2 linked regions of the Drosophila melanogaster genome follow. The protein of the gene in region 1 interacts with the protein of each later gene in a pairwise test. Each region holds a gene or a part of one and is shown in the gene's direction. Other genes may lie near its edges.

Evidence for each region. Proteins that work in one complex are often made in the same cells at the same time.
Region 2: the proteins of CG7202 (region 1) and RpL35 interact in a two-hybrid assay, tested with the Drosophila melanogaster proteins (one large-scale study listed by BioGRID).

The regions. Positions count from the first base shown.
Region 1 is NT_037436.4:21,489,710-21,494,291, reverse strand, and holds CG7202 (uncharacterized protein), read left to right. Parts: upstream 1-1,518; 5' UTR 1,519-1,585; coding exon 1,586-1,715; intron 1,716-2,104; coding exon 2,105-2,844; 3' UTR 2,845-2,893; downstream 2,894-4,582. Other genes in the region: CG7519 (uncharacterized protein), read right to left, coding at 510-872, 937-1,044, 1,096-1,107; Neu2 (Neuroectoderm-expressed 2), read left to right, coding at 4,291-4,582.
Region 2 is NC_004354.4:5,669,221-5,674,047, forward strand, and holds RpL35 (ribosomal protein L35), read left to right. Parts: upstream 1-3,180; 5' UTR 3,181-3,299; coding exon 3,300-3,302; intron 3,303-3,513; exon of another isoform or gene 3,514-3,652; coding exon of another isoform or gene 3,653-3,655; intron 3,656-3,777; coding exon 3,778-3,914; intron 3,915-3,996; coding exon 3,997-4,228; 3' UTR 4,229-4,327; downstream 4,328-4,827. Other genes in the region: CG4119 (uncharacterized protein), read left to right, coding at 1-6, 82-725, 831-926; Rab18, read right to left, coding at 1,695-1,796, 1,861-2,293, 2,383-2,441; Tre1 (trapped in endoderm 1), read right to left, coding at 4,746-4,827.

The DNA.
Region 1 (4,582 bases):
AACAGGGCGCAAGCAGATTCGCTAGACTGCCCAAAAGCAAGACTGAAGATGGACCAAGTGCGGGCAATACATGTAGCAACTAGGCAAATCCCATTAATTATATATTTAATATATACAATATATAGTTTAGGATACAATATTCTAACATAAAACCATGGGTTTATTGTTGTTCACAGATAAAATGGAATCGATTTCCCAATAAAAGCGAATATGTTTTTAAACAGAATGTTTGCATCAGAACTTTGAGATGTATACATTAGATTATTACAACACAACTTTGATCAAATGTTAATCTAATTTTTATTAAAGATGTGGATCTCATCCCACAGATTGGCAGAAAGCAGAATACAAAGTCAAGAAATGGCAACGTGTAGGGAACAATTTAAAGGCGGTCGTTATATTTTTATTTTTTGTATAAAAATAATTTGATTGTTTACTAAAGTAGATAGACGAACTGCAGCTAAATATGCATCCAGTCTTTACAACTTAATCTAAGCTAGAGCGAGGGATTACTGTTCCTCTTCGGGTACCTTTCTGGCGGGCTTGTGCTTCTCGTAAGCCTCATCGTTGAGTCCCTCCCGATTCCGGGCAATCTCGATGGCCAGAAACTGGACGCGAAACACGAAGATAGAGTTGTCCGGGGAGAATTCCCTGCTGGCATCGGCGCGCATCAGGGTGCCATACGAGTAATCGTCCAACTTGTTAAACTTCTCGGCGAACTGGCGCCACTTGAGCTTCGCCGTGGCGGATTTGAGAATATCATCGGTAAGCCGGCCAACGTGAAGATCGGGAAAATCCTGCCGGAAAGTGGCGTATATCTGGTCGTCGTAGGGCGTGAGCTTCAGCTGGGAGGGATGGACGCTGGTGATGAGCTGCCGGGAATACGATGAAGCAGTGTCAACTACCATTCCTTAACATCGTTCAAAGTGTACTCACATTAAAGTGCACCTCGGCGTGTTCCAGAGCTTTTGCGGCCCACATTTCCTCCACCAGGGTGTCGTTGCCAAATTCCTCCGCTGGCCGCGACAGCAGCGACGCTCCATGCTAACAAGTCCATTAATCAGAATCGGTTAATTTCTTTTAGCCACTACATACCATCATCTCCATTTTATTTGGACAAGGTTGCTTATTTACTTTAAAAATTATTGAAACGAAAAATCACGTTTCGTACTTTGTTTAGCGCAGTGTGACCAGCCGCAAGTCGGGATGAATAACGTACAATGTCGTACAAATACCGAAGACAATATTGAATTCAAAATTAAATAAATAAATTTAAGTAATTGATATGCATTGTTGTACCAAACAGTCGAAAATTAATTTGGAATAAAATTGTTTCAAATCAAATATCTTAAAACATCAAAAAAAAAAAGAAATTTCTTTAAAATAAATAAGTTGAAATTCTAATAGCTTTTTTAAGATTTCAAGAAATTAAAAAGAAACCGAAAGAAACAGAGTCCTTTTACAATCTTATTCGCTTTGATTTTAGTGTCCGATATTTCTTTATTTTCCACACGAGGCCCGACTTGTTCGAAAGCTGTTTTTATAACTACACACGTTATCAGCACACAACAAAATTTCGGGAATCATGTTCGAATGCATAAGTTTCTTGTTCCTGGCTGCCTTGGCCTTCGTGGCCTGGGCCGTTCTCTGCTTCCAGCACTTCGTCCAGGTCCAGACGCGGCTCTCCTCTGATTTCCGAGTCGAATTATACACAGGTGAGGATGTCCATTGTTGTTTTGAGTTAAGTGAAGAAATGGTGGTTGAATCCAACACTACACTTATGATTTTTTAATCACTCTTAAAAGTGATCCTTTTAAAGCCGGATACATTAGAAGTTAATGTCTATATTATTTTAATCGTTATTTGTGGTATTAAAGGGTATTCGAGATTTGATTTAACATATGAAATAGATATCAGACATTAAGTATATGTATTAATCTTTCTTAAGATCACTTGCCAGTGATCTGGCCATGTCCGTCTTTCCGTCCGACTGAACGTAGATACCTAGAAAAGTTGATGTAATTTGGTGTTCCAAATACTTATCGACCCTTAAAGTTTTTCACAAAGTTGTTATTTACCTTTTGCCTTTTATTCACTTGTACAGAGCGTCCTGGGATTACGTTTGAGCCGCAGCTGTGCCACAGTCCCTCAGAGCAGAGTAGCTCCGACAGCTCCGACAGCACCTACCAGTTTGCGACGAGCTTCGGCGTGATCTTTGCCCTGACCTTTGGTCTGTCCAAGCTGCTCCAACTGGCGGAGCTGCAGGCCAAAAGGTATTTCAAGAGCAAAAAGGCGCTGCATCCCAAATCTGCTGCCAAAGTGCAGGACCCAGTTGTTGAGCAGAAGGCGCCAAGCCAGCAGGACGATTCGAATCCCTTCGATCTCCTGCAGGACCACAATGAAAATCTGAAGGAGCAGCTCAGTATCCTGCAGTTGCAGTGTCTGGAAATGCGCGAACTTCTGCACGAGCTGGATATCAGCAGTAGCTCCAGTAGCTATGGAAGTGTCAGATCCGGAAACCGGGTAGCAATGGCCAAGTCCTCCGAAGAATCAATGGTGGTGTGGAGGCGATCGGACTCCCTGACCGGTACGGTCTCCGGCTCATTGCACGCCGAAAAGGTCAACTCCCCCTCCACACAAAACATCTACATTACCAACAGCCACTTCCACATCAACGGACAGGTCTACCTGACCGAGAACCACGTGAACGTCGAGCTCACCCAGAACGCTTCTTTGTTCGGTCGGGGGCAGAGCGAGTTCCTGCAGGTGGCGGGAAGGTTCATCTCCGGACCAAAGAAGATGCCCATGTTAACGGGCATGCGGTGCCACAACATCCTCATATGAGGAGTCTTCAAAATCATCCATTTCACTCGGAATAAACAATGTTACTAGCAATTCAACGACGTTTATCTTTAGTAGTTGGTAATACAAGGGAAATGGTTCCATAGAAAAAGGGCATCGCATCAAATAAGGCTTGCTCGACTATAGGTTACTTTCTAGTTTTATTATTGTAGTTGATTTAACATAAATGTTTTTAAAAACTTTGGGGTTCGAGTGTTTTAATGTCATCAAGAAAAGGAATTTAAGGAATAATTCTAGCACATTATCTATAAAGGCAATAATCGCTTACTCCTTTTGATTTACAAAGTTATTAATAATGTACATATGTACTTAATTAACACCAGAAATCGATGCCATTTACTTTGTTTTAGTCTTGTATTTAAAATTGAATTATTCGTTTTTTTGTACTGTATGTTTTTTATTGAATAATTTGCTACTAGAATGATTCCGCCATGGGGTATATTGGGAATAGAAGGGTATGGCTAGCTTTATTGGTCATTGGGTAAATGGTTTTCCCCTGTTTTCCACCACCCCAATAAGTATATTTCGTTACAAACACATGGTTTTAGAGTTCAGCAATAATGATTTAGCACTTTGGGGTCGACCAAGGAAAGATTTTTTCTTTAACCATAGTTACTTTTACCTGCATGTATCACATTATGCATTGACCTGCTTGGATCTACAGAAAATCGTAAGATTAGTTGGGACGCACCGTAAAAAGATGAGTGCAGCTGCTGGAAAGCCCTTCTTTGATGACACCTGACCCAGGTAACATTGTTAAATATGCTATGTTGCCCATTTTACAGAACCAAACGACCTTGGGACATGTTTGTATATAAGCCTTACGACTTACCTATTCACTTCAGAAGGAGTACAACCCTTGTCATAGCAACATCTTTACAGATTGCCAATTCCTGTGCTTATTGCCACATTTTAAATACGCATTCGCCGTGAACAAACACGAAAATAAGGTAAGTTTAAGGTAAGGATTGCCATTGTGGGTCAATTCGTGCCGAGTTAGCAAAGTCATAAATAAACCAAGATGTATTTGGAAATTAGTGCAATTTATGTTTAAAGCTCTACACAAGTATTAAATTTCATTGATTATTAAATATAAGAAAGAGTGCAGAGGGTTCTTTTTGATGCTATGCAACTAAAAGATGACGTTTGTCACTGACCTTATAAAGTGTATGTGTCATCCATGACTACGATCTAGTCGTACCTATTCTGTCCGTTTGTTTGAAAGTTGAGATCTCAGTGTATTTAGCATTCAGGATGTAGATTCCAGAAACGCTAATACTCAAAGATCTGGGAATAACCATTATACTTTTTTGAAACCGTTTAAGTGCACGATTTTGTATATTCGCAATTTTATATTCACACAGTTCGTGTCATTTCAGATCGATGGAATCGTCAATATGCCGAGTTTGCCTGGTCAGTTACGAAAATATGGCCAGTGTTTTCGATGAGTCTCATGAACCGGGCCTATCCATTGCGTACATAATATACAAGTGCACCGGCTGGCAAGTTGAGAAGCACGATCCACTGTCCAACACCATATGCAAGTCCTGTCTGGAGGATGCGCAGAATGCATTCGATATCATAGAAACGTACGAGAGAAGTCACCAGTTTTACCGCTTCCTCAAGGATGTACGGGAGGAGGAGAGTGAAAATGATGGATCCGGATGCTCAGAAGAAGTGGAGGCAGCTGAGAGGGATCTCCAGGATGGTGCCGACGACG
Region 2 (4,827 bases), on another chromosome or scaffold:
CGCTAGGTGAGTTTTCGATCAACTATATTAGATCGTAGAGCATCCTCTGATGACTTGCTGTTTGTTACCTTGCCTTCGCAGACTACGATGATAACATAAGCAACACCACGCCATCCAATCATGCAGCCAGCAGCGGCAGCGGAGCTGCGAACAACAGCAGCAGCAGCAACAACAATAACAGCAGCTCGGCGGATCGCCAAAGCTCCGCCGTGTCGGCGGCAACCGCTGCAGCCGCTGCCGTTAGCCAGAAGATCGCCCAGGCTTTCGGTGGCGGCTCATCGGGGTCGGGTTCGGGATCCGGCTCCGGTTCGAACGCATCAGGCGGCAAGAACAACGGCGGCGGCAGCAGCAGCAGCAGCAACAACAAACATAACAGCAACAGCAAACATGGTAAGAATGAGGCAGCTGCATCTGCTGGCAGTAGCGCAGATGCTGCCGCTGCGAACATCAAAAAGGATGAGAATGGTGCAAAGGTGTATGATGAAAAACGGCGGCATATAAAAAGCATTATTGACAGGATACCCACGCAAAAGGAGGAGCTATTTAATTATAAGCTAGACCGCAACGAGATTGACAGCGGTCTAATGGAACGCAAAATACGTCCATGGATAAATAAGAAAATCATCGAGTATATCGGTGAGCCGGAGCCGACGCTAGTGGACTTTATATGTTCCAAAGTGTTGGCCGGCAGCCCGCCTCAAAGCATCTTGGATGATGTGCAAATGGTGAGTAGTTTGAAGCGATACGATACGATACGATAACCACTACCATTCTATGAACTAATCCAAACTCTATCCCTCTCGCTCTGTTTCAATGTTTCAAATCTTCAGGTACTCGACGAGGAAGCCGAGGTCTTTGTGGTGAAGATGTGGCGTCTGCTCATTTACGAACTGGACGCCAAGAAGAGCGGCCTTGCGGGGAAGTAGTAAGGAGATGGGAGAGATGCCCGTCGTGCGCATCACTGGGGAACTGGGCGGGAGCAGGTGCGGATCCGAGGTATCGATGGAGGAGCAACAGCGTGAAGTTAGATTCTAAGTTACTCTTACGGAACCTATGCGATTACAAAAATGTACATAAGGGGCGTGCTCCGGGAATTGTTGCGGCCAAATGTCCAGCTTTGTTTTCTAAGCATCCGTCGCGTGCAAGGGATTTACAAGAAATTGATGAATAGCGAGCGAGCCAATCGTGAAGAACAGCTTCATTGATTTCTAAATCCACCTTGTTAGCGTTAATTAATAAATATTAATCATCGATAATTGTAAATATAAACCGAACTCACTTATAAATTTACACCACCAGATGCAATAGAAATAAAAAAAATCGCATAGCCCATGTACATTTCAGTTGGTCACTAATCCAATTCTCCACTTTATTTGTTGCGTTTGTGAACGCAAATGGAAAACTATCATCATGTCAATAAAATAATGAAAAGAAAATGCTGAACTTGACTTTTGACTGGTCGCAGACGAAATGCAAGCAGATGGACAATAAGCCGTACAGGAATATTAGAAGGATAGAATTTAAAAAGGATTCTGACTGATCTGCAAACCCTGCAAGCTAAGTGAATCGATAGCCCTGCTCAGATTGGAGTACACGATTGAACGTTAAGGTTGATTGACTTTATGCTAGTGATATTGAAACGATTAAATAAATACACGATATAAATTTGACAAAAGCACGCATAACATTCGAAATCAACAGTAACACGTAGACGCGCTTGCCTCCAGATCCCGATCGCTGGCGATGTCCAGACCGGCGGAGGCATTGCCATTGTTGAAGTATTCGGAGGAGACGATCTGCAAAGCGGATGTGGATAATTGGAAACACGAATGCCAAGTATTTGGTTGGTAGCTAGCTCACCTTCTCCACCACATCTTTGAACACATCGCTGACGAACTGATCGCATTTGGCTGAGGTCTCGATGAAGAGCGCCCTGTGCTTCCTGGCAAACTTTCGACCCTCCTCGCGATCCACAACTCGCTCCTCGTCGATCTTGTTGCCTACCACAATGATGGCAATGTTGGGATTGTCGCTGTAGCTATCCAGTTCAGCCAGCCAGGTTTCCAGCTTGACCAGGCTGTCCCTGCTGGTGATGTCGTACACTAGAATGGCGCCCAGAGCCTTCCGATAGAAACTGGGCGTCAGGCTGCGGAATCTCTCGGCGCCCGCCGTATCCCACAGGGCCACCTTGTAGTCTATGCCGTCCACCTGCATCACTTTGCTCTTGAAGTCCATGCCAATCGTGACGTCATGGTTCTGGTCGAACTTGTTCTCCACGAAGCGACGTATCAAACTATGATGAAATGATAATGAAAGTTGATGAGTGATGCAAGCTTTTGGTAATATACGCAGTGGAATTGCTCCATGGACTTGGGACTGCACCTGGACTTGCCCACGCCGCTTTCCCCGATCACCAGCAGCTTGATAGCCCGATCAGCCATTGTGTGGTTTGAGCTCCGCTTAATGCTTATCACTACTGTTATTTACTTAAAACGATAAGAATATTGCCAATTGTATTATTTATGTAGATTATCTGGAGTAAGTGAGTGCGGCGTTGCCACCTTGCTGCTTTGTTTACATTCTCACGATAGAGATGGACCACTGTAACAGCAGCCTTGCCAGACCGCCACTTCGATCTAGTGGTGACCTGTGGCCGTAATCTGGCTACTTTTTTGCACACACATTTAGCTTCTTAAAATAATTTAATTCCACCCTTTTAACAAAACCGATCGGGTCTTGACTTAGGAGGACTAACTATATTTAAAAAAATAATTCTGTTGTTACTACCATAATAAACGCGCAATGAAAACTAAAACACGTTAAGCAGATCAAATTTTGTTGCCACATAGGTAACAGTGCGTTCCTTATATTGTTGTATAAAAATTAATTAAAAAAAAAAAATTAATTATAAAAAATAATTATAAAATATCATAAATTTAGGATTCCTTCTGCGCTCAAAATAGTTGGTGTTATAATTATTTTATATAAACGTTTAAATTATATAAGAAATAATTTTCCTCGAAAAATAATTCCGAAACGCGTAATGTCTTAATTTTATAGCTCTCTAAAATGGTATTATTTAGCTTTTCATTGGCATTAGCAAAATAAAAAAGTAAATATTGTGATTGAATATTTTTGCAATCGTAGTAATTTGATTTATCTATTTTAATGACGGACTCGGAACCGGTTCGATATCAGCGTTGCCACTGGTTCGACGCTCGAAGTTACAATAGTGCCACCACCAACTAGTTCTTTCCTCCAAGTCCCATCTTTCTTTTTTGACGTGACCAGCGAGAAAAATGGTTGGTATTTTGTGAGCGAAAAGATTTCTAACCTATTTTACAACGAAACGAACAATTAAAAGCCAAAGTAATGGCTAAAACGCGCCCCAAATTACTGCCGTTCATGGTGTTAACACAAAATGCGATTAATAATGCAGTACCACGCTAGTTGAGACGCGCAACGCTAGCACACTATTTTGTGCTCACCCCTAGCACCTCTGCTTCTTCTTCTTTCCTTTTCTTTTCGCCGCGTTTCCGGAGAGGTTGCGTTAAGCCACGTGCTGAATTTCTTAATTTGCTGGTTTAGTGAATACGGAAAATTCGTTGGTTTTTTTGTTCTGTGCTGAGTGTTAAAGAGCAGAGCTAGAAAAATGGTTGGTTGGTTACACCCATCGACACCCGATGCTCTCAGCCCAAGGGCCAATGAACATGCCATTTGCAGTGCAGCGATACTAATGTTCTTGTTTTCTGCCCGTTTGTTTGTGCTCCCGTCCAGGTGAAGGTTAAGTGCTCCGAGCTGAGGATCAAGGACAAGAAGGAACTCACCAAGCAATTGGATGAGCTCAAGAATGAGTTGCTCAGCCTGCGCGTGGCCAAGGTGACCGGCGGAGCTCCCTCCAAGCTCTCCAAGATGTGAGTATGCCGCGGCACAACGACAAGCGTCACGAACTAATTCCGGTGTTTTGTGCATTTATGTGCGTTCTTATCCATACAGCCGCGTTGTCCGCAAGGCCATCGCTCGCGTCTACATTGTGATGCACCAGAAGCAGAAGGAGAATCTGCGCAAGGTCTTCAAGAACAAGAAGTACAAGCCCCTGGATCTGCGCAAGAAGAAGACCCGCGCTATCCGCAAGGCCCTGTCTCCGCGCGACGCCAACCGCAAGACCCTCAAGGAGATCCGCAAGCGCTCCGTCTTCCCCCAGAGGAAGTTCGCCGTCAAGGCCTAGAATGCATCCAGATACTCCGACTGTCTATAGTGCGCGTTAAGGGTTCTTCGGTACAATGAAGAAGAAAAACTAAATAAAATCTTTTTTTTAAAGTGAAAATAGCGATGCGTGTTTGATTTTGTGACCGAAAAAACGCGAGTGGCACATGGCTTTGGCCATGGGTTCATGGAAATTAGTTAAAAAACAAAAAAACAAGTGCCGCATTCCCTGTTCTACATATGTTAGTCGGATCCAATGGGATCTACTTAACTACTTGTGGTCCTTAAGATCATTATAGAGCAAAAACGTTGAGTTAGCGCCTTGTAGAAGTAATGGCAAATCTTAAGTTCAATCTTTAATTCAGCCTTCTTTGAATATGCAAACTTGAAAAACACCAGAATTCTCAATTGGTCTACGTATATGTATTTAATTCGATTGTCTTTGATGTAAGCACGGCCATACATCGTAAATAATTATGAACTAACAAGTAATAAGTAGGTAATTGATATGAATTACAAGCTCTCGACTGCGAGCTCGATCATACTGAATATGTTTGGCACATTTGGTTAATACTATTCTTCTGCACAGCGTGAAACAGCGGCGTGCTGCGGATGACGCCC